Linked DNA regions of Pelodiscus sinensis. The protein of the gene in region 1 purifies or fractionates together with the protein of each later gene. This does not show direct contact. Links are inferred from orthologs where the notes say so. Each region holds a gene or a part of one and is shown in the gene's direction. Other genes may lie near its edges. The genes, in order: SAAL1 and SLC27A2.

What was found.
Region 2: the proteins of SAAL1 (region 1) and SLC27A2 purify together in Homo sapiens (co-immunoprecipitation; 3 studies listed by BioGRID and IntAct, with this or other methods). This does not show direct contact. The link is inferred for Pelodiscus sinensis from reciprocal best matches to the Homo sapiens genes SAAL1 and SLC27A2.

Annotation. Positions count from the first base shown.
Region 1 is NC_134714.1:113,252,414-113,264,263, reverse strand, and holds the start of SAAL1 (protein SAAL1), read left to right. Parts: upstream 1-7,278; 5' UTR 7,279-7,638; coding exon 7,639-7,761; intron 7,762-9,704; coding exon 9,705-9,818; intron 9,819-11,850. UniProt on the Homo sapiens protein: Plays a role in promoting the proliferation of synovial fibroblasts in response to pro-inflammatory stimuli.
Region 2 is NC_134724.1:20,624,929-20,637,147, forward strand, and holds the start of SLC27A2 (long-chain fatty acid transport protein 2), read left to right. Parts: upstream 1-6,825; 5' UTR 6,826-6,967; coding exon 6,968-7,445; intron 7,446-12,219. UniProt on the Homo sapiens protein: Mediates the import of long-chain fatty acids (LCFA) into the cell by facilitating their transport across cell membranes, playing an important role in hepatic fatty acid uptake.

The DNA of each region.
Region 1 (11,850 bases):
TTGGACAACATATGAATGAATTATTTCAGCACGGGAATGATTATTCTTTAGAATAATTCAGGGCTTGTCTATGATTACCACAGGATCGATGCACCAGAGGTTGATCTTCGAGCATTTGACTTAGAGCGTCTAGTAAGTACCTGTTAAATCAAATGCTAAAGGCATCCCCATTGACTCCTGTACTCCTCGCACTCACGAGGAGTAAAGGAAGTCGACAGGAGAGTTTCTCTCATCGACCTCCCATTGTGGGGATGCTGGAGAAATTTGTCTTGAAGTGTGTCAACTCCAGCTACATCATTCTCGTAGCTGGAGTTGCATATCTTAAGCAAACCTCCTCCGTTAGTGCAGACCTGGACTCAGTTAACTTTCCATCCAATGTGAGAAGTTACGAAAGAGGTGGTGGATTATGAACGTAATTTGTTTTCCGTCACGTGTCCTATTGTGTTAATTCTGTGATGTATTAAGTTTCCATTTCTGAAAAATCACATGTGAGCTTTACATAGAATCCCAAATTACAGAATGGCCAGGAGGGAAGTAAATTGGTCATAAATATGTGTTAAGATCAAATTATTTCTCTAAAAATGCAGGAAGAAAATTTGATATCTTCAGGGAAGAGATTCTACAGAGAAAGTTTACTGAGAGACGCCTCAAAGCCAGATTGTTCAATGGGATTAAGTAAGGACAACACAGTTATACTCTGTTGTCCTTAAAAGTCCTAGAATTGTTTTGGGCTAGTGCACAGGACTGAGTTAGGACTATTTCACAATATCTTCCCAATCATAATGACTTTATTCAGATTCCATTCCCATAAGAACCACGCTGAACATTTACAAGAGCTGCTTTTTTGTTTACAAACTCGAGGTCAATGTCTGACCTGAATTAGGTATTTACCTTCATCTCTCCAATTAGAATCAATAGGAGTATTTCATATGATCTCCCATGCAATGATACAAAAATGTAAACTGCATCTACTCCATATGAATAACAATTGAAATAAGACTGTGATTTATTAGAAATGAAAACTCACTTTACAAAGTCAGCTGAATTACTGATAGAACTGATAATTCCAATCCACTGGTAGTATTTGAATTAAAAGATTTTTTAAACTCTTTACATTTAACTTCATATATCTTATGGCACAGATATTGACTACAAAGTTACTCAGTAAGTGAACTGCTATTCAAACAAACTATAATCTCCCTTTAAAATTCATAATGGTGGTAATAAAAGCCAGTTGATATTTTTCAAAATTCAAAAATGAAAAAGGGAAATAAAGAAAATTTTTGCAAAGATGGCATCTCATTTCTGGTCAGTAATTATGTTTTATTTGTTTCTATTGCCATAGCCTCTTGGACCCAAATTCATGGAGTAGAACCCATGGATGAGGCACTGTATGAACAAAATGAAAAGACAATTCATGCCCTAGCAAGCTGATGGCAAATGCTTTTCCAGCTACTTTATGGCATCTCTTTTGGGGAAGGGTAAAACTGGTTTGGCATGTATGGTACATACAAAATAATTACTAAAAACTTCTATCTAAAAATCTGATACAAAATATTGCTCATTTTACTAATTTAAAGACATGTTAAGCAAGTCAGAAAGTGACTGCCTTGCAACTTCCAGTAAGTGATGGATATTTCATCACAGTGGGCAGTAGTTAAATGCTGTAATTGAATGGACAAGGCAGGCATTGACCAAATCAAAGTAGGAAGTCTCTAGAGGAATTCCCAGCAGAAGCAATGTCTATTTGCAGTCAACAAGCAAAAAGTTGCTCAATTTGAAGTTAGCAGGTTTATGTAAATTATTTCCTGTTTGCTCTCTAAGATAAAGCCTCCAATAAATACTGGACCATTTTTCCTTTTGAGAATCCATCAGAACTCTGCATTTCAGGGACTATGCAGTACAGCAGTGGTAAGTTTGGTTGTAAGAGGAAATTTCATATTTGTACCACTTTGCCTTGTTTTAATTCTGTTTCTGTCTTCGAACAAGAGCTGTTTATGGTGTAAAACTGTTAAGCGGAAATTCAAACTTCTAGATTTATGTGTTGTCTCCCTGCCTGGTGCTGTGATTGCAGAGGGGATTTAATTTTTTCTGTGTAAAAACGATCACTTTGGTAATGCTTCAGAATTGCGTGTGATCCTTTTGATACATGTAGCTGTTCCACAGTATTTATAAGAGCAATGAGCATTATGGCTGGAGTCTTTAAAATATGGCCTGGTTTTCTGACACCTACTTTTCCTATATTACAGCCTAAATAAGTGAAGAATGAAGTTCTGCAACTGCATGCTGTTACTGTCTCTGGTACTGTGTGTCAGTGCCCAGAACTGGTTCACTAATGCTGGAGCATTCATAAGGGATGCTTATCGAGGTATGCTTTTACTAACTGTATGTTCTTCTTCAGAAGTGTCCTCAAAACTTATGTGCAGCAGGATGATGCAGTTCTCTTTCATATCCTCCTCCAAAGATGTCATGTGTTGCAATCTACAGTTAATAAAATAACATACATGGCTGCAAATCCCTGTATTTGTAATAGGAGTCGTGTGTGCCAAGGAAAGCTGGGGAAAATTTTTGGGGAGGGGATACCAAATTCATTAAAAAATATAATTTGCAAAAAGTTTTAGTAGTGCCCATAAATTTAGGTGAAATTTGGCAAATCGTTTTTGTTGAAAAAACACGTCACAACTAATAATTTTCACAATGAACAATTCTTACATTTTGCTGCAGAAATGTCTATTCAAGTCAACCTGAACATTTTTTATGTTTTTCATTTTGATGCGGGAAACCCTAACAATTCTGCATTGGTTTGAAACTAAACCATCTTTTGGGGACTTCTCAGATCTTCCACTGAACCAAAAACTCTAGTGTTTGCTCAGGGGTATAGAGGAGACTTTCTGGCTTCTCTGGAATCACTGTACTTGAAGTTATCATTATGAAGTGACTAGAATGGTGCTTAGCTACCTCAGAGGCAGGTGCATGGAATAACCTCACAGATTTTATACTTACAGTCCCCTGTAATCCTCTCTCTCTTGTCCAGGTGCCGGGGATATGTGGCGTGCTTACGATGACATGCGGGAGGCAAACTATAAAAATGCAGACAAATATTTCCATGCTCGTGGGAATTATGATGCTGCCCAAAGAGGACCTGGTGGTGCATGGGCAGCAAAAGTTATAAGGTAATTGATTCTACTTGGATTATGAGTTAAAAGTCAGTAGAGACCTGTGTAATCCAAGACCTATGAAGTACACTGCAATTCATAAATAGTTGTTATCCTGTTTGAAGCAACTACCTTTTTATTTAGCATCTGAATTGGGTAAATATGAAGACAGTTTCTGAGCTGACCAACTGTTATATAGATCACTTCACTGTGTATAGGGAGGCCCATGTTTACACCACAGGGCTTTTAAAATTTAAAAAGCTGCAAAACCTCTCTTTCAGAACCAGTATTTGTTGCCCTTGCTATTTCATGCACGGACACAATGATCATAAGGTCATTTAATGAGGATTGTTTGTGAATGTTGCTGTTGAACATGATGGTGATGATACAAAGGTGCTTATGACGGGTGGGTAAAACTTAATGGAGGCAAGTAATGGGAAGGCTTTTGAACTACTGCACTTCTGGTATGACCTCTGCTATTCAGAGACAGGTTAAGGTAGAGGTGTGTGTATGAGAGAGAGTGAGTGAGAAGGAATATGAGCTAATATCTTTTGGTGGTGTTTTTGTGTGTCCTCAGTTTTATAGAAATGTAGGGATTAAACTGGTGGTGAGGAAGAAAAGTAAATAATTTAGTTATTGTGATTTAATTAAAAACTGTCTAAGATAATCTTTTTTCCTCTTTCCAGTGATGCCAGGGAAGGTTGGCAGGGTGGCATTAGTGGCAGAGGAGCAGAAGACACCCGTCAAGACCAGGAGGCAAATGCCTGGGGTAGAAATGGAGGAGACCCAAACCGCTACAGACCAAAGGGCCTTCCCTCGAAATACTAATGCAGCCCATAATAGTTAACAGTAGTTCTATTGTACCAACTGTGCAAAGAACCCACAATAAATAAAATCTTAAAATTCTGACGCTCTCGGTTACATGAGAAGAGATAATAAAACAATATACGACATTATCTTGGTGAGTCAGAGGAAAAGGAAACCCTTAATTGCACCAGGTGTGGAAGAAAATTCCAGATTATTTAATTCTTATCCATAACTCGATTTCTTGCCTTTTCCTTTGAAGCAGTGGGTACTGGCCAGTATTTTTCATGGGGTTGGGAACCCGGTTTCATTTTAATGAGCAGTAATAATGTTTGTGTTTTAAACATATAGGCTATGTCTACACTGGCCCCTTTTTCGAAAGGGGCATGCTAATTTTAAACTTCGGAATAGGGAAATCCGCGGGGGATTTAAATATCCCCCGCGGGAATTAAATAAAGATGTCCGCCGCTTTTTTCCGGCTTGGGGAAAAGCCGGAAAAAAGCGTCTAGACTGGCCCGATCCTCCGGAATAAAGCCCTATTCCGGAGGATCTCTTATTCCTACTTCGAAGGAAAATTAGCATGCCCCTTTCGAAAAAGGGGCCAGTGTAGACGTAGCCATATTGTCGTCAGATAGGTATAATCTCTGTTCCATCAGAGGTCAGGCTAGAAAGGCTGGATTATAGGCATAGCTCCCATTGTGTGAGAGCAAGAGTGAGTGAAAATAGCTAGTGACAGGCAGGGCAGAACTAAGTACAGGACTAGTTGATGTACATCAATAAAAACTTGGAAGCGTAGGAGGATTCAAAAGGATCAATGCTCATAACTTGAAATTAAAAAGAAAGAAAAGGAAAGGAGAAACAACACCATATCAAAATGAATATGCGGTTTGTGGGTATGAACAGAAGTAATAGGGGAGGGATAAAGTAAAATGTTTGGGGACCACTGATCTAAGATATGGGCCTCAACACAGATTCGCTTAGATTTCCTCCAGCTTTATTTCTCTGTCGTTTTTGGTACTTGTGTGAAGCTGAGGGTCTGTGTTTGCTGTCTACTTCATAGGTGATCAAACCCACTCCACTTGAAACCTTTGGAACTCTGCAATTTGAACTCACAGAGATTCTCCCAGCACATGTCCCATTCTTCCCTTTAGTAATAGTTTAAAATGTTCTGTTTCACAACTGTTTTCCACTTCTGTTTGGCTACGTCTACACTGGCATTATTTTCCGGAAATGCTTTTAACGGAAAAGTTTTCCGTTAAATGCATTTTTGGAAAATCACGTCTAGATTTTTGCAGAAAAGCGTCCTGCCAATCTAGATGAACTTTTCTGCAAAATAACCCCGATCGCCATTTTCACGATCGGGGTTTTTTTGCGGAAAACAAATCTCTGCTGTCTACACTAGCCCTTTTGCGCAAAAGTGTTTCGGAAAAAGACTTTTGCCTGAACGGGAGCAGCATAGTATTTCCGCAACACAACACAAAATTTCAAAATAAAGCCCTATTCCAAAAATCTCTTAACCCTTGTGGAAGGATGGTTACAGGGATGCTGGAATAGCATGGAATAACATCAGTAGGTTAATTACTTTAACTGATCTGTTCTTTCCTACACCTCAAAAAATTAGGTGGGTTGGAGTGGGTGTCTGGATGTGGCCGGGCTGAGGGGGTGCTGTGGGGTGGCTGAGGAGTTGTCTGTAGGTGACCTCAAGGGGCGCTGTCGGGCGGCAGAGGCGTTGTGTGTCTGGGGGGGGCTGCAGGGAGCGCTGTGGGGTACCGGAGGTGCTGTGTGTCTGTGGAGGAGCGCTGTGGGGAAGCAGAGGTGCTGTGTGCCTGTGTGTGTGTGTGTGTGTGGGAGGAGGGGGCCTGCAAGGAACGCCATAGGCTGTAGGGGGCGCTGTGGAGCGGCGGAGGCGCAGTGTGTCGGGGTAGGGGAGGGCTGCAAGGAACGCTAGAGGCTGTAGGGGGCGCTGTGGGGCGGCGGAGGCGCAGTGTGTCGGGGGCCTGCAAGGAACGCTAGAGGCTGTAGGGGCGCTGTGGGGCGGCGGAGGCGCAGTGTGTCGAGGGCCTGCAAGGAACGCTAGAGGCTGTAGGGGGCGCTGTGGGGCGGCGGAGGCGTAGTGTGTTGGGGGCCTGCAAGGAACGCTAGAGGCTGTACGGGGCGCTGTGGGGCGGCGGAGGCGCAGTGTGTCGAGGGCCTGCAAGGAACGCTAGAGGCTGTAGGGGGCGCTGTGGGGCGGCGGAGGCGCAGTGTGTCGAGGGCCTGCAAGGAACGCTAGAGGCTGTAGGGGGCGCTGTGGGGCGGCGGAGGCGCAGTGTGTCGGGGGCCTGCAAGGAACGCTAGAGGCTGTAGGGGGCGCTGTGGGGCGGCGGAGGCGCAATGTGTCGAGGGCCTGCAAGGAACGCTAGAGGCTGTAGGGGGCGCTGTGGGGCGGCGGAGGCGCAGTGTGTCGAGGGCCTGCAAGGAACGCTAGAGGCTGTAGGGGGCGCTGTGGGGCGGCGGAGGCGCAGTGTGTCGGGGGCCTGCAAGGAACGCTAGAGGCTGTACGGGGCGCTGTGGGGCGGCGGAGGCGCAGTGTGTCGGGGGCCTGCAAGGAACGCTAGAGGCTGTACGGGGCGCTGTGGGGCGACGGAGGCGCAGTGTGTCGGGGGCCTGCAAGGAACGCTAGAGGCTGTAGGGGGCGCTGTGGGGCGGCGGAGGCGCAGTGTGTCGGGGGCCTGCAAGGAACGCTAGAGGCTGTAGGGGGCGCTGTGGGGCGGCGGAGGCGCAGTGTGTCGGGGGCCTGCAAGGAACGCTAGAGGCTGTAGGGGGCGCTGTGGAGCGGCGGAGGCGCAGTGTGTCGGGGGGAGGGGAGGGCTGCAAGGAACGCTAGAGGCTGTAGGGGGCGCTGTGGGGCGACGGAGGCGCAGTGTGTCGGGGGCCTGCAAGGAACGCTAGAGGCTGTAGGGGGCGCTGTGGGGCGGCGGAGGCGCAGTGTGTCGGGGGGAGGGGAGGGCTGCAAGGAACGCTAGAGGCTCTAGGGGGCGCTATGGGGCGGCGGAGGCGCAGTGTGTCGGGGGCCTGCAAGGAACGCTAGAGGCTGTAGGGGGCGCTGTGGGGCAGCGGAGGCGCAGTGTGTCGGGGGCCTGCAAGGAACGCTAGAGGCTCTAGGGGGCGCTGTGGAGCGGCGGAGGCGCAGTGTGTCGGGGGGAGGGGAGGGCTGCAAGGAACGCTAGAGGCTGTAGGGGGCGCTGTGGGGCGGCGGAGGCGCAGTGTGTCGGGGGGAGGGGAGGGCTGCAAGGAACGCTAGAGGCTGTAGGGGGCGCTGTGGGGCGGCGGAGGCGCGCGCTGCCGGTCTCTCTCTGGCGGGCTGCCGGGCAGGGTTGTTGTTGCCGGGGCGGCGGGGAGCCGGTGCTAGGTGAACCCCGTGGGCGGGAGGCGGCCGTTCGCGGGTCCTGCGTTGTTCCCGGAGGGGCGGCGGGAGCGGGCCGGGTCCGGCTCCTTGTATCCCTCCGCACCGTGCCCCTGTCCCTGCCCTGCCCGAGCGGCGGCGGCTGGGCGGGGGAGCCGGTGCCCGGGAGGGGGGGGCGAGTCGAGGCGGGCGGGGGGCGGCTGGCAGCGCTTGCCTGGGCTCACTCCGTGCCCATCGTGGTGTGGACACAAGCCGGATTGCGGGGCAGCCTCGGCCCAGCGCGGTGTCTGCGCCATGGACCGGAATCCTTCGCCCCCTTCCAGCGACGCGGAGGAGGAGGCGGGCGCGGGGGATTGCATCGGGGGCACCGTCTACAGCAAGCACTGGCTGTTCAGCGTCCTCACTAAGCTCATCCAGGTGCGTGACACGCGGGGGGTGGGAGCGGCTGCGCCCGGCGAGAGCTGCGGCAAAGGGCAGCAGGGAGCGATTGAAGAGCCGGCAGGGAGCCGGGTTGCCATAGGACGGTACCTGTAAGAATTTGTCAGTTACTGTCCCTGCTGGGGATAAGTCCCACCCATCGGCCTGGGGACTCTCTTAGGTACTGAGCTCCTGCTGTGGGAAGCATAGGGCCTGCGGGGTGGGCAGTGGGTGTGGTAACATGGAGAGAAAATGACCTCCGTGCGTGGCCAGGATTTTACCTGTTCCCTGTTATAAGGGAGGCTGAAGAGCCATTTAAACTAAAGGACAATGTTGGGGCTAGAATAAGCAGGTGTAAACAGTCCATGAACAAATGCAGGCTGGAAAGGAGAAGAATGTTTCTAGTCATCAGAGGGGTAGGAACAGCCTCCCTAGGAGTTGTGAGGTTTGGGCACCAACTCAGTGTTAGGAGAATGCTGGGTAAATGTCTGGGTGTCAGTGTCTGACAGGGTTGATTGTGATGGGGGGGGGGTGTATTCTGGGAGCGATTTTCTTTTTTAATTGCCTTCCTCTGAAGGGATAGCTGGGGCTAGAGATAGAAATGTGCATATAGGAGAAGCCAGGACTCTTAGGTGGCATCAAACCAGTGCTTTCTTGTTACCAAAAAAAAAAAAAAAAAAGTGCCGGTACTCCAGAGGAAAAGTTGTTGAGCTCTGACTGGAGGTGCCAATATGGTGTCTGGAGGTGCCCAGGTACTGCATCCTGGGCAGTATCATCACAAAAAAGCACTGCACCAAACATTCTCTCTCTCAGGTGCTTGACTGGCGGGTTCCTGCTCACACGCTCAGGCTATGTCTATACTGCAAGCCTCTTATGTAAGAGCAAATGCAAATGGAGTGCTCAAAAAAATGAGGAAGAACAGCTCTTGCGCAAAAGGGGGTTTTTATGCAAAAAGGAGCCATCTCCACAGCGCTTTTTTTGCGCAAAAGGGAAAGGAAGAGGAAATGCAAATGAGTGCTCCATTTACATTTGCTTTTCTGCAAGACGCTTGCAGTATAAACATAGACACAGGATCTAATCAATTGCTGTATGTGGGGTCAGGTAGGAGTATCCCCCCCCCCCCGGTTTAAATTGGCAATGGCTTTGGGAGATTTTTGCCTTCCTCAGCAGCGTGTGGGTTACTTGCCTGGATTATAGTGCATAATCTCACATAATGGATTATATCCCTCCCATGGTAGGGGAGGAGGGGGAGGCAGGGAAAAGGGGTGTATATCTCAGGCACTGATGCACCTCAGTGTTTCCTATTCTCCGTTTCACATAATAGTCCAGTCTCTTGTGGACTGTACAATTTTTGTCTCATTTTGGTTGTTGGGGGTTACTGTCCAGGTGTTGGGTGACGCGGGTGTACTATGAGACATGGGAGGTCAGACTAGATGATCTGTCTGTCTCTTCTGACCTGAAACTCTGTGACTGATTTGTTCTCACTACAGCTTTAGTCCTTTGTAGCTCACCAGACATGTCTAATATCATTCTATGATGAAATAACTTTAATATGGCTAGGTCAGTACACACAATTGTGTAATATCTCTGAAAAGGAAGCAATACTAGGAACTTTTCAAGAGAGGCTCTCACATCCTCTAACAAATGTTAATTAAACTTCTTGGCAATCTCTCAGATAGGTACAGTAAGTGTTTTTGTCCCTGGTTTTTAGATGGGGAAATTGTGGTGCAGCCTGCATATCATTCAAGGAAAGTATTTTCTGCCTAAGAAGATTCATTTAGAAAATGCTTAAAAATGAGCAGTACAGTTTTGGAAGATCTAAATAGAGTAGGTTGCAGGTGACATCTACCTTTGGATAACTAAAACAATAGATTGTCTTGAAAAATTAATTATTTCTTCACTGTCTCTTATTATTGCACCATTTCTTTTACTTCATTTGATAGGTCATTAGCCCTGAAAAGAATGACTCCAACTTGAACAGTGAAGAAGTGAAGACAGAACTAGATGAAGAAATGGAGAATGACGTTTGTAAAATGTGGGACATGTCAATGGACGAGGTATGTTGGTGAGCAGCCTTTAACAATGTGCAGAATACAATTTTAAAACTGAGAAATTTCCCTGCAGTGGAAATTTAATTTCCTCAAAGAAGAGTATAGATAGCATTAGTTAGTAGAAGACCTAGAAACAAACATTCTCTGCTATTTTCCCAACTTGAACGGTTTTGCTCCTTTATTTTAGCTGGCATTTATCTGGTGAGGGTCCCCTAAACTGAGTGTGCCTGAAAAGTTGACAAAAAAGATGTTTCAACCCCATCTACCTGTCACGAGGCTTTTTCAGGTATCAGGCTGTGAATAGCAAGCTTTTTTTCAGGCACTCTAAAGCAAACACTCTGAGGGAAGACCATCAGTTGGACACAGGCAGATGGGTCCCAGGAAGAGAAGGGGTTGAAGTTGCATGAGTGCTAAAATTCAGTATTTGCTGCAGTCAAAATAGTACAAGTATATGCACTGACCTGTGTGTGCAAGAAAGAAACCAATGGATTTTATTATGATGTACAGAAAGCAATGCAAGAAGTTTGAAGACAAGATATGTTATAATGTTGGGAATCTTTCATGTGAAAGTGGGATTGAACTGGATTTCTGGACTGGAGCAATAGGCAGATTCAAACTCAGTGAAGAAAGCAAAAGAGGGAGAGAGGCTACTAAATTTCTGCCTCTGTAACAACTGGGTGAGAATTAACATACTTTTCCAACAAAGAAAGCTGATGAAGGAATGGAATTGGTTAACATTTGATGGGCAAAGGAAGAATACAGTAGGCTTTGTACTTGTGAAGTACAGGTGGGAATCAGTTGTGTTGTCATGCAGATCACTTGTGGCAGATATTGGATCAATTCATATATTAGTGTTGGCATTGGGGTTAAGAACTGAAAACATGCTAGGAACTAAAATCTCTGACAAATTAAGGAGCAATGTTTGAAGAAAACACAAACTGCAGAAAAACGTCACATTTCTCGTAAAAAAAAATAAAAGTAGTAAACATTGAAATGACATAGAACATTGGGTTTAAAAAAAGAGCAATAGTAAAAAATGAGAAACAAGTAGTATTGAAAGATAAGAGAACTGTACAGGACATATGAGTTGAAGATATCAATAGTGAAAGACAAGCGGAACAAACAATTGAGGATGAAAACAAAGCATAAAGGAGGAAGAGACTATTTTGAAGAGCAGTACAGAGCTCAGACTATAGTATATAAAATGGTCCTTGAAAAGTTTTTCTGTACAGATGAAGGAGAATGGAAGCAAGATTTCTGAGAAGCAAAGATTTCACTAAAAAGTCTGAAAAATGAAAAAGTGCTGGAAAGTGGTAAAACATCTTCAGAGCAGTTAAAAGTAGATGAGGAACAGATGTTAAAAGCAATGTACAACTATTTGACAGAGAGAAGAATGAGTGTAAAAACTATAAAGGAATCAGTTTACTGAGTGTGTACAGAAAAGCACTTATCAGGGCCTTGGAGAGGAGAATGAAATGGTACATAAAGCAGGCCAGATTTAAACCAGGAATGGAATATTAAGTCAGCTATTTGTGATGAGACAGATATCAGAGAAACGGAACACAACCAAATTTGTTATAACAACTTTAGAGACTTAAAACAGTCTTTTGATAGCATTTAGCAGAAGTTGATGGAAAAATTCAGGATAACCGTAGGCATGAGACAAGTATGGGTACTTCAGTTGATTTGGTCAACTTGGTACTGGAAGCAATATGGATTAGCACTGAGAGATAAGATGACTCATTTCATGTGGGAGGATTAAATTCTGGGAGAGGATATTGATTTCATAGCATTGTCAGGTAAACTCGGAAATCAGGAAATTTGCTTTGAATATCAGCATGAGGAAGGCAAAGCTATAACAACTGGAAGTTGAGAGAAAAGGTCAAGCTCAAAGGTATATACAATCATGTGTGTCTCTTTTTCTTTTGTCAATGATTGTAATTGACAAGTCTGCAAGGGTTAGTAGATAACTCATATGTCCTAGAGAATTTGACAAATGTTTGACCTAGCCTGATTCCACAAGAGAAACATTTGATTT
Region 2 (12,219 bases), on another chromosome or scaffold:
GGCCTCAGCACCATCAACTGACCCAGGCTCTGAGACTTGGTGCCAGCAGGACTGGCTTTAACATGAGGCGAACTGAAGTGGCTGCCTCAGGTGCCAGACTGTGGGGGGGAGGAGGGCGCCACTAGGACCCAGAGAATTCAGACCTTTCAAAGTTTTGGCCCAAGCGAGGGGGCATTGGGGCGTCATTTGAGCTCCCCACCTCAGGTGCCAAAATGTTGTGGGCTGGCCCTAGGTGCCAGACATTTTTTATCGCAATGTACACATACCTCAAGAGACCAATGGGCTAGGGATCCTATTTCCAAAAATGCTCACTCTTTTGGAAGTACCCATTTCTGAGCTGCCCAGCTTGAGACACGTAAGTGTTCTTGGAGGGAGAGCGAGGCAAAAATCCATTTTTCGCTTTCTTCCTCATAGGAAAAAAATGTAAAACAGGTAGGTATGTGAGTTATTCTACATTGTTCTACATGCAAGAGAGTTTGGGGTGAACTTGAGAATATACTGGAAAAACTTAAATAACAATGAATAGTCCAGCAGCACCTTAAAGACTAACAAAACATGTAGATAGTATCGTGAGCTTTCGTGGGCACAACCCACTTCCTCATGATACCAGCTACATGTTTTGTTAGTCGTTAGGTGCTGCTAGACTACGGGTTGTTTTTTAAGTTTTTCCAGTTACAGACTAACTCGGCTACCCCTCTGAAACTTGAGAATATACTGTCTTTAAACTCAGGAGTCCTTATATATAATTCTATTTTAGCATTCTTCCTGTTAATATTTCTTCTGTATTATAGTGTTCCTGGACCTGAGCAGGAAGCCAATATTCAGGGGCTTGCCAGGCTGTTTCCTTCAAGAGAAGAAACTACTGATATGAGTTAAGTACTTCTTTGGTGCGATCCTGTTTATTTACAAAGAATATACACAACGTCCAATTTCCCCAGACACAGTACAACATAGTAGAAAGAAACAATATCAAACACACAATTCCATACCTGCCTCTCCAGTGCAGCCTGTGCCCCAAGAAGTCGCCCCCTCTCTGCACTCTCTCAGGTCCATACTCAAAAGTGCTTCCCTCACTCTCCGATGGCTTTTTGCTTCTAACAGGCACACAGTTGCCAAACAGTTCCGACCCCTGGTTTGCAAGCAGGCCTCAGACCACATGGCTTCTGCTTTGCTATGTGCCTGATTACCTGGAACCCTTCTCCTGGCTGCCTTTTCCAAAATGACGTGTACACCAGATACTGCTTCATTTCACATTTTAGAGTGAAAAACCATTAGCAACCGCGACCAGTTTTTGCAATAGAAAGTGAGTTTTACGAGGATAAAGAGGGCCTCAAACTGCTTCCCACGCAGCAGCTGGGAAAATGGAAGATGTCATTAGCTCAATCTTATGCTTTAACCACCAATGATTCTCTATCTACAGTCTCTGGGATTTCCTGAGAATCAGACAGTAAACTCAAAATGTCTCATGCACTGAGCTGTTATTTACCAGTATTCCCAACAAAAATAGACGAGACTGTAGACTTAGGTTTTTGTCCAGGGTAACCAGAATGGGAGCTACCTCAGATAGCTTATCTAAGGCTATGTCTACACTGCAGCGGAGGCATCCTGAAACAGCAAGCACATTATTTCAAAATATAACGGGTTCACTATTCTGATGCCTCTGTAAACCTCATTCCACGAGGAGTAAGGGACATTTTGGAATAGCAATTTATTTTGAAATAAGTACTGTGTAGACAGCACCAAATTTCGAAATAAGCTATTTTGAAATAGACTTGAAATAAACTACGCAATATGTTTCGTAGCTTACTACGCGTAGCTTATTTTGAGCTATGGGTGCAGTGTAGACATACCCTGAGGCTACATCTACATTGCAGGCTTTTTGCGCAAGAACAGCCATTCTTGTGCAAAAACTTGTGGAGTGTCTACACTGCACGTGTGTAACCCTTCTGCCAGGCCGAGTAAATAGCAGCAGCAAGGGCCGGGTTCAGTATCTAGGGGTCTCCTCCCAACGGGTTCAGTATCTAGGGGTCTCCTCCCAATACAACACCGGCTCGAGCCCCCACCCAGTGACCTGGGAAATCTTACATACACCTCTGGGTGCCTCAAAAGAGGCATTTCTTCCCCTCTCGCAAGCACAGAGCCTCAGTATAGTAGCAAACCTTTAATAACATGAGGTAACCGACATCTGCATTAAATTGGGGAAACACCACAACTCGGATTTACCCACCAAACAATGAGCAAAGGCCCTCCCCCCAGCCACAAATCTCCCCAACTCCCCCCAGCCACAAATCTCCCCAACGTCCCAAAAGTCCAACACCCCAAAAATCTCAGCCCTGGGTCAGTGCCGTCCCAGGGTTCAAAAGTCCACCCGGCAGGGTTTCACCATCCCAACCTGGAGGGGTGGGGATCGATGCACCTTACGTGGCCCGGCGGTGGCTCCGCCTCTCCATGCCGCCGCCGTCAACGCAAGTCACTCCGCCACACTCCACTTGTCGTCAGGTGAGCCGCCTCCACTGTCCGGCTCCGCAAAGCCGCCAACCGTCTCGGTCCATGCTCCGGGCTGCCAGCTGGTTGCTCCTGCTGTTGCTCCGCCGGCTGCCGCTCCTACCAGCCGCAGGCCACCCCCGTCAGCGGCTTCGCTGTCTGCCCTCAGGTTGCCCCACCAGCTGCATCTACTGTCCGCCTGCGCTTGCTGGTTGCCCCTTGCAAACTGCTCTGCTAGCAGCACAGCGCCAGGCTCCCCTCAGCAACAGTGATTTCAGCTCTCATCCGCAGCACAGCACACAGTGATTTCAGCTCATAACAGAGGAACCTTAGCACTGGCCCACAGCAAAGTTAGCTCCACAGTTCACAACTAGACTTCTAATGGAATCTAAATTAACTCTGATATTTCACAGTGGAGGGAGTACAATCAGTGTTGTTTAGGCCCTCAAACAGGATCCCACCACCAGGTACCAAGACCTGTCCCCAACCTCTCTCAATTTGACTGGGTTTGGAACCCATGCCCCTTGTCTAGCGAGTGCTACTTAGTTTATGGCGAATCCCTCTGTCATAAACAGTTCCACCATTCCATTGTCCTTGATTCGCATAATCAGGGTAACAACACTTTTATCCCCTCTGCCTCAATAACAGAGAGACTGGGGCTCCCACAGTGGCCAAAGTGACGATTTGGGCTGCTGTGGCACATACTAGACAGGGTTGGTGTGTCTATGCAAATTGGGCTCAGCCCCTGAAGTCTCTTTGCACCACTTGCCACAGTTCGCCACTAGATGTCAGGATAGAGTTTACCCTGACCCTGCTTACACGTGCGTTCTTGCACAAGTAAATTTACAGTACAGCATCAGAACAGAGGGCTTCTTGTGCTAGAAGGCAGCGTGGATGGGCAACAGGGGTTTCTTGCGCAAGAAATCACGATGGCTAAAATGGCCATCAGAGCTTTCTTGCACAAGAGGGTGTCCACACTGCCATAGATGCTCTTGCACAAAAGCACATCTCTTGCGCAAAAGCATGTCAGTGTGGACATGCTCTTGTGCAAGACCTTTTGTGCAAGAACTCTTGCGCAAGCCAGTTCTTGTGCAAGGAGCCTGCAGTGTAGACATAGCCTAAGAGTTTACCTACATGTGGAAATTGAGAGGGATGGCTATTCCAGAATAGTGGTAGCACTGAATATTCTTAGCCTTCCTATTCTGGACAACCCCTTACAGACAAGCCTTTACTGTCATCCCATTTGTTTTCATCTGCTTTAAAGTTGTACAGAAGTTCCCACTGCTGTCCCATTCTGAGGCTTATTGCAGCTACTTTTCCAGAGACAGCCACTGTTAGCAACTAAGATAAGATTTGCTCCGACAGATGTAGACTGAGTAGAGTCAGCAACTTGTAGGCTTAGTGGTGGGTAAAATTCACCCCTATGCAGAGGACAAGCACAATGTCTATGCACCACTTAAATCCCATGTGAGCCTTATTTTGAGAGCTTACTCAGGTTTAACTGGTGCATAAACCTTGTGCTAATTCTCTGGACTGCTGTTCCCTGACTGGGTGCAGCACAGAGTTCTGTCCTAGGCAATTAATCGATATATATCTTCAATGGTATGCACTGAGCAACTGTCTGGAAAATCCCCGCCCCAAATCCCACACAATGGGTTTTTTTTGGTATAATCCCAACACACTATAATGTAGGAAGGGGGACTAAGAAAATAGGTCTGGATTTTCCTTGACACAAAAGCAGCTCCAGAAATTGTTGCTTGTGGCAGTCTGGTCCTGCACTCCTGTAACTTTCTGTGGTTATGTGGGGAGCTTTTTGGTGGATTGGCCAATAAATGAGCTGATGGGCACTGGCAACTTTCTAGACAGCTGATGATTATTCTCTGTACAGTGCACAGCTAACGGGCTGCCTGTGCATGGGAGTGACTAGCATGGTGGCACTTCCAACATACCTGTGCAGAACCCTACCACAGTGCTGACACTAGCACCCTTGACTCTAGGGCAGAGCTAACTACAACACTTGGCTATGCTTCAGGAGTGGCCAGACACGTTGTGAGAGCAGTTCACAGACTGTACAAATGTGTAGTCCCTAGCACTTTTCCTTTGGGGTTGTCGTCATCATCATCATCAACAACCATAGTTGGCATGTGCATGAGAGACAGCTCCAAAAGCAAGCATATTTTCAAATGACAGTACTGGAGCAATTCAGAATACACATTCACATCCCTGAACCCTTTACTCTGTAAGTGTACTGAAAGACAAAATCCCTTCTCTGTTCCTTCCCTTTGCCTTCCCCTGCAGCCTCTCACTAACATTTTTATCAACTTTCTGCTAAGTGCTGCCAACCTGATCTCCTTACACCAATGCAAATCAGCAGCAATGCCTGGAATGAATGGAGTAACACAGGTGCAACTCTGGTCCTGATTATGACACTGCAGCAAATCAAGAGTGATGCTAATTAAGTCAGTGGGGTTGCACATCAGTAACTAAAGTCTCAAAATTCCACTGGTCTCTACCATGTATCTTCCCAGGCATAGCAAGAGCAATCCCAGAGTGCACCCAGCTCAGCAGCCAAAGAAAGACCCCTGGGCTAGTCACCCAGAATGCCATGTATGCCAAGCCCGGTGACATCTACACAATAATGTGAATGGAAACAGGGACATAGCTATCCTGTGCACACACTATTGCTGCAGCTGATGTCCTATAGTGGGGTGGCCAACCCATTACAGACAAAGCCAAAATGGTGGTGGATACAGCGCAGAAAGCCAAGGGAAAGAAGTTGTTGAGCAAAAAAAAAAAAAAAAAAAAAGCCTGTTGCCCCTTTAAAAGCAGCATGTGGCCCAAGCAGGCTTCCGTTGGCTGCAGCATCAGCTCTTGCTGCCCTGAGTGATGCTCTGCCCAGACAAAGAAAAAAAGGTCGGCGCAGGGGACCATGAGAAGAGCCGCAGGTGCAGGAGACACAATTTTTCCTTTAAAGAATTTCATGGTGCTAGTGAGCTGGCCATCTCTGTCCTTTAGCCTAGATAGCGTGCATCTGCTCACTGTCCCAGAAATTCCCCCTACAGACAAGTCCTCATTGTCTGCCTAGAATTTCCCATGGGCCTTATTTTCACTGTCATTTCTTCAAGGGTCAGTACTTATGCTTTGCCCTTGATGATGAAATACGAGGAACCCATATTTTTACCTGATTTGTGAGTTTTTCCACAAATTTCAGAAGAGATTTATATTAAGTCTCCAGTCCCCTTTCCCTTTAGGTCATGGGAAATTGCTAGAGATATCAGTGGAAGCAAGATGGGAGCTCAGGTCTCTTTGTGAGTTGGTTCATTCCATACTGTGCACCTGTGTGCTGGGTGGGGTGTCACTCCGGATAGCTATACCTACACTTGAAAAGGAAACTAAGCAGTGGTCCTGTAGCATCTTAGATAAACAAATATCTATATCCCATCATGAACTCTTAAGGTGCGACAGAAGTACTGGTTGTTTTTAAAGTTACAGACTAACACAGCTACCCCTTTGATACTTGAAAAGGGAAAGCAGCATTTGCCCTGAAGAGAAATCAGTTTGACCGCGGCCATAATCCCCCAAACTTTGGGACTCGGCTCAGTGGGCCAGAGAAGCGGCTGCCCGCTGTACCACACAATGCCATTATCACCACTGAAATCAGACAGACCGCTGTTTCCATCCATGGGAACTAAGCGTTCTTGTCCTGTGCACAGGGATGGCCTATCCATATAGGTGAACTAGGCGGTCACCTAGGGCACCAAGTTAAATGGGGCGCCAAATAGTGGTGCAATATCATTGAGGGTTTGGAAGTGGTGGCCCCGATTGCATGGTTTGCCTAGGGCACGAGTTGCTGGCAGCTAGTCTAGGGCTGCCCCTGCCTGTGCGCACTGGTGCCAGGGGAGTGGTGTGAGAGGTGCCCACTCCACCGCCCGTCCCTGCCGCAAGGCATCTGTAACCGGGTGGGGCCCTGTTCTCCCAGGGAAATCGGAGAGGAACTCGGGGCTGCTACTGCCCCTCCTGCTTTCTCTGAGACCCCCTCACTCCCCAGGCCCCTGGCCTGCCACTGCGGTTGCGGGGAGCGAGGTGCCGCTCGGTAGGCGAGCCGGAGCCCGGGAACACGCTGGTTGAGGGGAGGGGGAGTTGGTATCCCCACAGCGCGCTGGCCAGCGGGGGCAAAGGGCTCTCCCGCTCCAGCAAAGGCGCTTTCCCGAGCTCTCCCCACGCCCCGCTTTGGCAAACCGAGGCGCTGGCTCCGCTGCCACCAGCCCCAGGGGGCCGGTACCTGACTCCTCCCGGAGACGACTCCTGCCCCCGCCCCTGCTCCCTCTGACCCCACCCCCGCTGGGGCACCGCTGGGGAGGAGCGACTGAGCCCGCCCCTGGCCAGCCGGGAGCCGAGCAGCGGGCGCCGCGCCGCGTTCCGCCAGCCTAGCGCGCTCCGTGCGCCCCGCGTCCCCTGAGCTAGGCACTAGCCGGCCCGGACCATGTTCTCCTGGCTCTACTCCGCGCTCCTGCCGCTGCTGCTCCTGCCGCTGCTCATGAACCTCTCCTGCCCCTACTTCTTCCGCGACCTCTGCTTCTTCCTCAAGTTGGCCCGGGTGTCGCGACGGACGCGCAGCTACGCGGCGCGGGACCCGGTGCACAGCATCCTGGAGGTGTTTTTGCAGCGGGCGCGCCAGGCGCCGCGCAAGCCCTTTGTGCTGTTCGAAGAGGAGACGCACACGTACGAGCAGGTGGACAAGCGGAGCAGCCAGGTAGCCCGGGCGCTGCGCGAACAGGCCGGGCTACAGCCAGGGGACTGCCTCGCCCTCTTCATGGGCAACGAGCCTGCCTACCTCTGGATCTGGCTGGGCTTGGCCAAGCTGGGCTGCGCCATGGCCTGCCTCAACAGCAACATCAGGGCCCAGTCCTTGCTGCACTGCTTCCGCTGCAGCGGGGCCAAGGTGCTGCTGGCAGCCCCAGGTGAGACCCTCCAGCGCCTAGGCTGACAGGTGGCTCAGCCCGCAGCTGCCCGCGGTGGGGCGATAAGGGGCGTGGCTGGCCCCAGCCGCCCACCCATAGGGCCACACATTCTGCTCATCCATATCTGCTCAGGCAGGGAGCTCACCTGCCCTGCAGCTTTCTGAGTGGGGAGTAGGGGCAAGGCCGGATTAAGGCATGGGCTAGCCGTGCAGCTGCCCGGGGCTCCAACCTATGGGGGGGCACCTGATGGCAGCTGTAAGGGACGCACAATGCCCCTTATAGCTGCCATCAGGCGCTGTGTGCCCGGCTCCCAGATCGCGGGCTGCAGCAGCTCCCAGCGGCCATCCTGCAGCGGCTGGGCTGGGCTGCTGGGCTGGGCTGGGCTGGGCACATGCGTCCTGCCACCGCCAGCTCCATGTGCCCTCCCCCACATGCCGGGTGGGGGTGGGGCCGCACATGCACCCTCCCCCAACCTGGGGCGCAATTAAACTGTCTGCCCAGGGTTCCGGAATAGCTTGGTCCGGCCCTGAGTAGGGGACAGTCCCCCAGGGACAGCCTTAACCCAGAAGTGGAGATGAGGGTAGCCCAGGATATGGGACAATCCCCAGCAGTGTTGCCTGTAAGCTGGGTGCTTGTGAAGTTGCTCAGGAAAGATTCACATGCCACCTAGCTGGTTAGCAGGGCACCCACAGCTGGCTTTTTTGTTTCTGTTGGTGGTGCACATGCTTGATGCACACAAAACATTTATTCTGCACATGGATGGAAAACATGGATGGACACACTGGTCCCCAGGAGGTGGGAGGTACCCCAGAAAGGGGGACAGTCCCAAGGGGTGGTGAGTGGCTGGAGGAGGAGGGTTGTTCCTTTAACATTTACAGTGCTTTCTGCTACAACTTCATTGTGAAGAGTTGGTCTCTCCAGCTTCTGTAATTTGGAACAACAAACAGTGAAGAAACAGGAGGTTGGTGCAGGACAAAGGTAACTGGATCAAAAGTCAGTGAATTAGTAAACTGAGTCTTCTGTAAGGGTTATTGGCTGCCCTGTTTCAACTCTGCTCCCACTGCTTTGGGGAGGCCTGGCAAAGGAGATGCCTTGGCCACAAGGGGTTTTTTTCTGGGGGTGGGGATGGATTATGCCAATACGTAGCAAGTGCTGACATACAAGATACAATCAGTGAGGCCCTAGTCCTACCCATGTGCATGATTAACTTTACTCTCTGTGAGTACCCCTATTAACATCAAATTTAGGGCCTTAAACTTTAATCCTGAAATTGACCCTGTCTAGGTGTTCCCCCTGCACGTAGCCCCATGAACATTAGAGGGGCTCCAAGTGGGCAAAGTGGGGCAGTATCTAGATGAAATAGAATTGCAGGATCTGTGCCATAGTGCGGAAGGGTTTTGTCAAATAGCTAAGCCTGGGATGTTGCACTGAAACATACATGTGCTTTTTGAGATATGGATGTGATAGTCTCTCATACTAGCCAGTGACCCAAGGCAGCCTGGGGGAGAGACCAGCAGGGGGCAGTAGCAGGGATCACACACCCCCTGCACTCACCATGGCAGCAGGAACTGGAGCAACCTGGCAGCCTGTTCCACTCCGCTCCACCCATCTCTCAGCCTGCTGTGCTCCACTTCTCTGCATTGGCAGGAAACAGAGCGCCCCAGCCCCAGTCTGCTTCTCCGAGCCCTGCAGCAGGCTGGGGCCAGGGCTGGGGGTTTGTGGCAAGGAGGGCAGCAGGGCGGGAGATGGGTGGGAGAGCAGAGTGGAGCAGGCTGGATGGTCCATCAGCCCCATGCCAGGCCTCTCAGGTAATCCCACTGCTCACACCGCTGGGGGAGGGGAGGTACAAGAAAGGGCAAAGCAGAGGCAGGAAGAGGTGGGTGGAGATGGAGCAGAGGTTGGGCAGGGCACAGCCTGCAGTGGAGGGGTCGTCCCTGGTTCCATGCCTTGGATACTGAGGTGGGTGGTTGCCCAGGGCCCCGCAACTCTCTAGGGATGGCCCTGGTGTGAGAGACAAGAGGTCAAAGTAGATGCTCACAGTGGTGCCTTCTAGCCTTAGAATCTATGAATGTTCTCAACTCATTGGCTACGTCTAGACTGGCCACAAATTCCGGAAAAGGGATGCAAATCAGGTAAGTCAGCATAGGGAAATCCGCGGGGGATTTAAATATCCCCCGCGGGATTTAAATAAACATGTCCACCGCTTTTTTTCCGACTTGGGGAAAAGCCGGAAAAAAAGCGTCTAGAGTGGCGCGATCCTCCGGAATAAAGCCCTTTTCCGGAGGATCTCTTATTCCTACTTCAAAGGATTTCCCTATGCTGACTTACCTGATTTGCATCCCTTTTCCGGAATTTATGGCCAGTCTAGACGTAGCCATTGACAATGTATTTTCATTAGGGCTGTCAAGCCATTAAAAAATTTAAACATGATTAGTCGCATGCACCTCCCCTTTGAAACACCGCAGTCAACAGGGCAGCGCTGCATGGAGCACGGGATCAGCTGGAGTCCCCAGCTGACCCCGGGCTCCATGCAGTGCTGCCCCTTGGAAGCACTGCAGAGGCATTTCCAAGGGGCAATGCATTAGGAGTCTGGCATCACCTGGGGACTCCAGCTGATTCCCAGCTCCATGTTGCAAAGCACCTTTAAAGGGGCAGCACACTAGGAGCTGAGGATCAGCTGGAGTCCAAAACACCAAAACAGCATTTCAAGGGGGCAGTGCAGCATTAACGCCTGCAATTAACACGTTAATCCTGGACTGCGTTAATCGCAGGTGTTAACGCAGATCAATTGACAGCCCTAATTTTCATATCCAATGTGTATAATAAGGGGAACACACCAGAAAAAGATACTTTACTTAGGTAACAGGGCTTTCTCTACTAAACAGTAACATCTAAAAAGCTTTCCTTTTTGATCTGTGCAATGCAAGAAATAAAATAACCTTTATTACTACAAATTAATGAATTAATTTGCAATAGAGTGAACAGTTTACAGGTTCAAATAAAAAAATTAATGTCAAGGATACCTAGATAGTTTAAATAATGGGGAAATCATTGCTCTTTTGTTACAGGTGGACTGAAACTAGTCTGAGATTTTTTTAGCTGCATTATAAGACCCTGATCCCATAAAGACTTTGTTACATGTTTATACTTAAAAAAAGAAAAAAACAAAATGGAAAAACTGATAAACAAGGTCATTAGATAATGGAGCATTAGCTAACTAGTGCCTGTTAACTACCAATAATACTGAACTCTTACAGAGAGCTTTTTGTCAGTAGATCTCAGTGCACTTTACCTTGGAAGTAACAGTCATAAGTCCCTTTTTATAAATAGGAAAACAGAGGCACAGCACAATGAGGTGGCTTCCCATGGTAACCTAGCAGGTCATTAGCTGAGCCAGCAATAGAAGCCAGGTACTATGTGTCACAGATCCACTGCTTTATCCACTTGGTTACACTGCCTCTCTTTAGTCTAGCCCCATTTCTGCCAACTTTTGCAAACATGATATCAATGAGACTACTCACATGTATGAAGATAGAATATGTGCACTAATATTTGCAGGGAAAGGTCCTTTTCTATGCAGATGTTTAAATGTTCCTAAATTTTATGAGCTAAAAACAAACCTTTCCGAGTATAGCACACAAACTAAACCTTAGTGGGAATGAATTCCATACTGTATTTGAACTTTCAAAAGTAACCAATTTTTAAGTTTACACCATGAGGAAAAGCTAGTGTTTAGAACAAGAAAATATACTTTTCCAAAAAGTATTCAGCTTTGGGGAGAGACCAAACAAAGAATATTTCATCCCAAAATGAGAAAAAAAAATTGAAGATGAATGGTTGAAAATAGTTATTAATGAAATAATTTTTCCACCCTTAGCTATAGTAGACACTTCTGGCCGTTAAAATAATATAAGGAGAAGACAAAAAGACAGATTTCCCCTCTATTACACATTTACTTTTTCTTCCCTGATTTGAATTTTGACCTTTACTCTGCATTTTTGTGCTACCCTGGGTCAGGGTGACTATTGTTATTTATTTGCAAGGATACTTTGAACAGATTTCTGCAAAGGAGTATATTGATTCAGCTATAAACAGGAGTAGAGTGTATTGTGTTTACATATGTTGGGTGCCAGACTATGGCTCATTAGATCTAAATGTGGAAAGGTTCTAAATTAAACCTTTCATGGAGAATGGAGGTTCAGATTCCCCTTCCTGCCACCAAACCCAATTCTCCATGCAGCCCAAGGTCTGTGTAGAACAAATAGGGAGAGCAGGGGTGGCCAACCCATTTAACAAAGAGAGCCAAAACAGCAGCAGAAAAAATGTGAAGAGCTGCACCAGAATTGTCAAGCCAAAAAAAAAAAAAAAATCCCCCCCCCCCCAGAACAGAATAGTTGGGCAAAAACAAAAATTTTTTTTTTTAATTTTTTTAAAGGAGGCTACCACTTTAAGATGGCCACCATCTTGAGCACCATTTTTAAAACTCCTCAGCTCTGACCCAGTAAGCACAGGGAAGCCAGGGATGGGTGGGGCCGTTTGTGGGTGCAGGAGCGGCTTCATGAGCCACACTTTTGGGGGCCAAGAGCCGCATGAGGCTCAACCTGTGGGTTGGTCACGGCTGAAGTAGAGTGAGGGTGGGCAGGAACAGGAGAGACAAGCCACCTGAATGTGCATAGTTCTCCTTACAGTCCTGCAGAAGATGTCCAAAAAACTGAATACAGCCTGAAGCCATAGTAAACATTTTTAGTTTCCCTGCCTGAGGACCAGAGGAGGC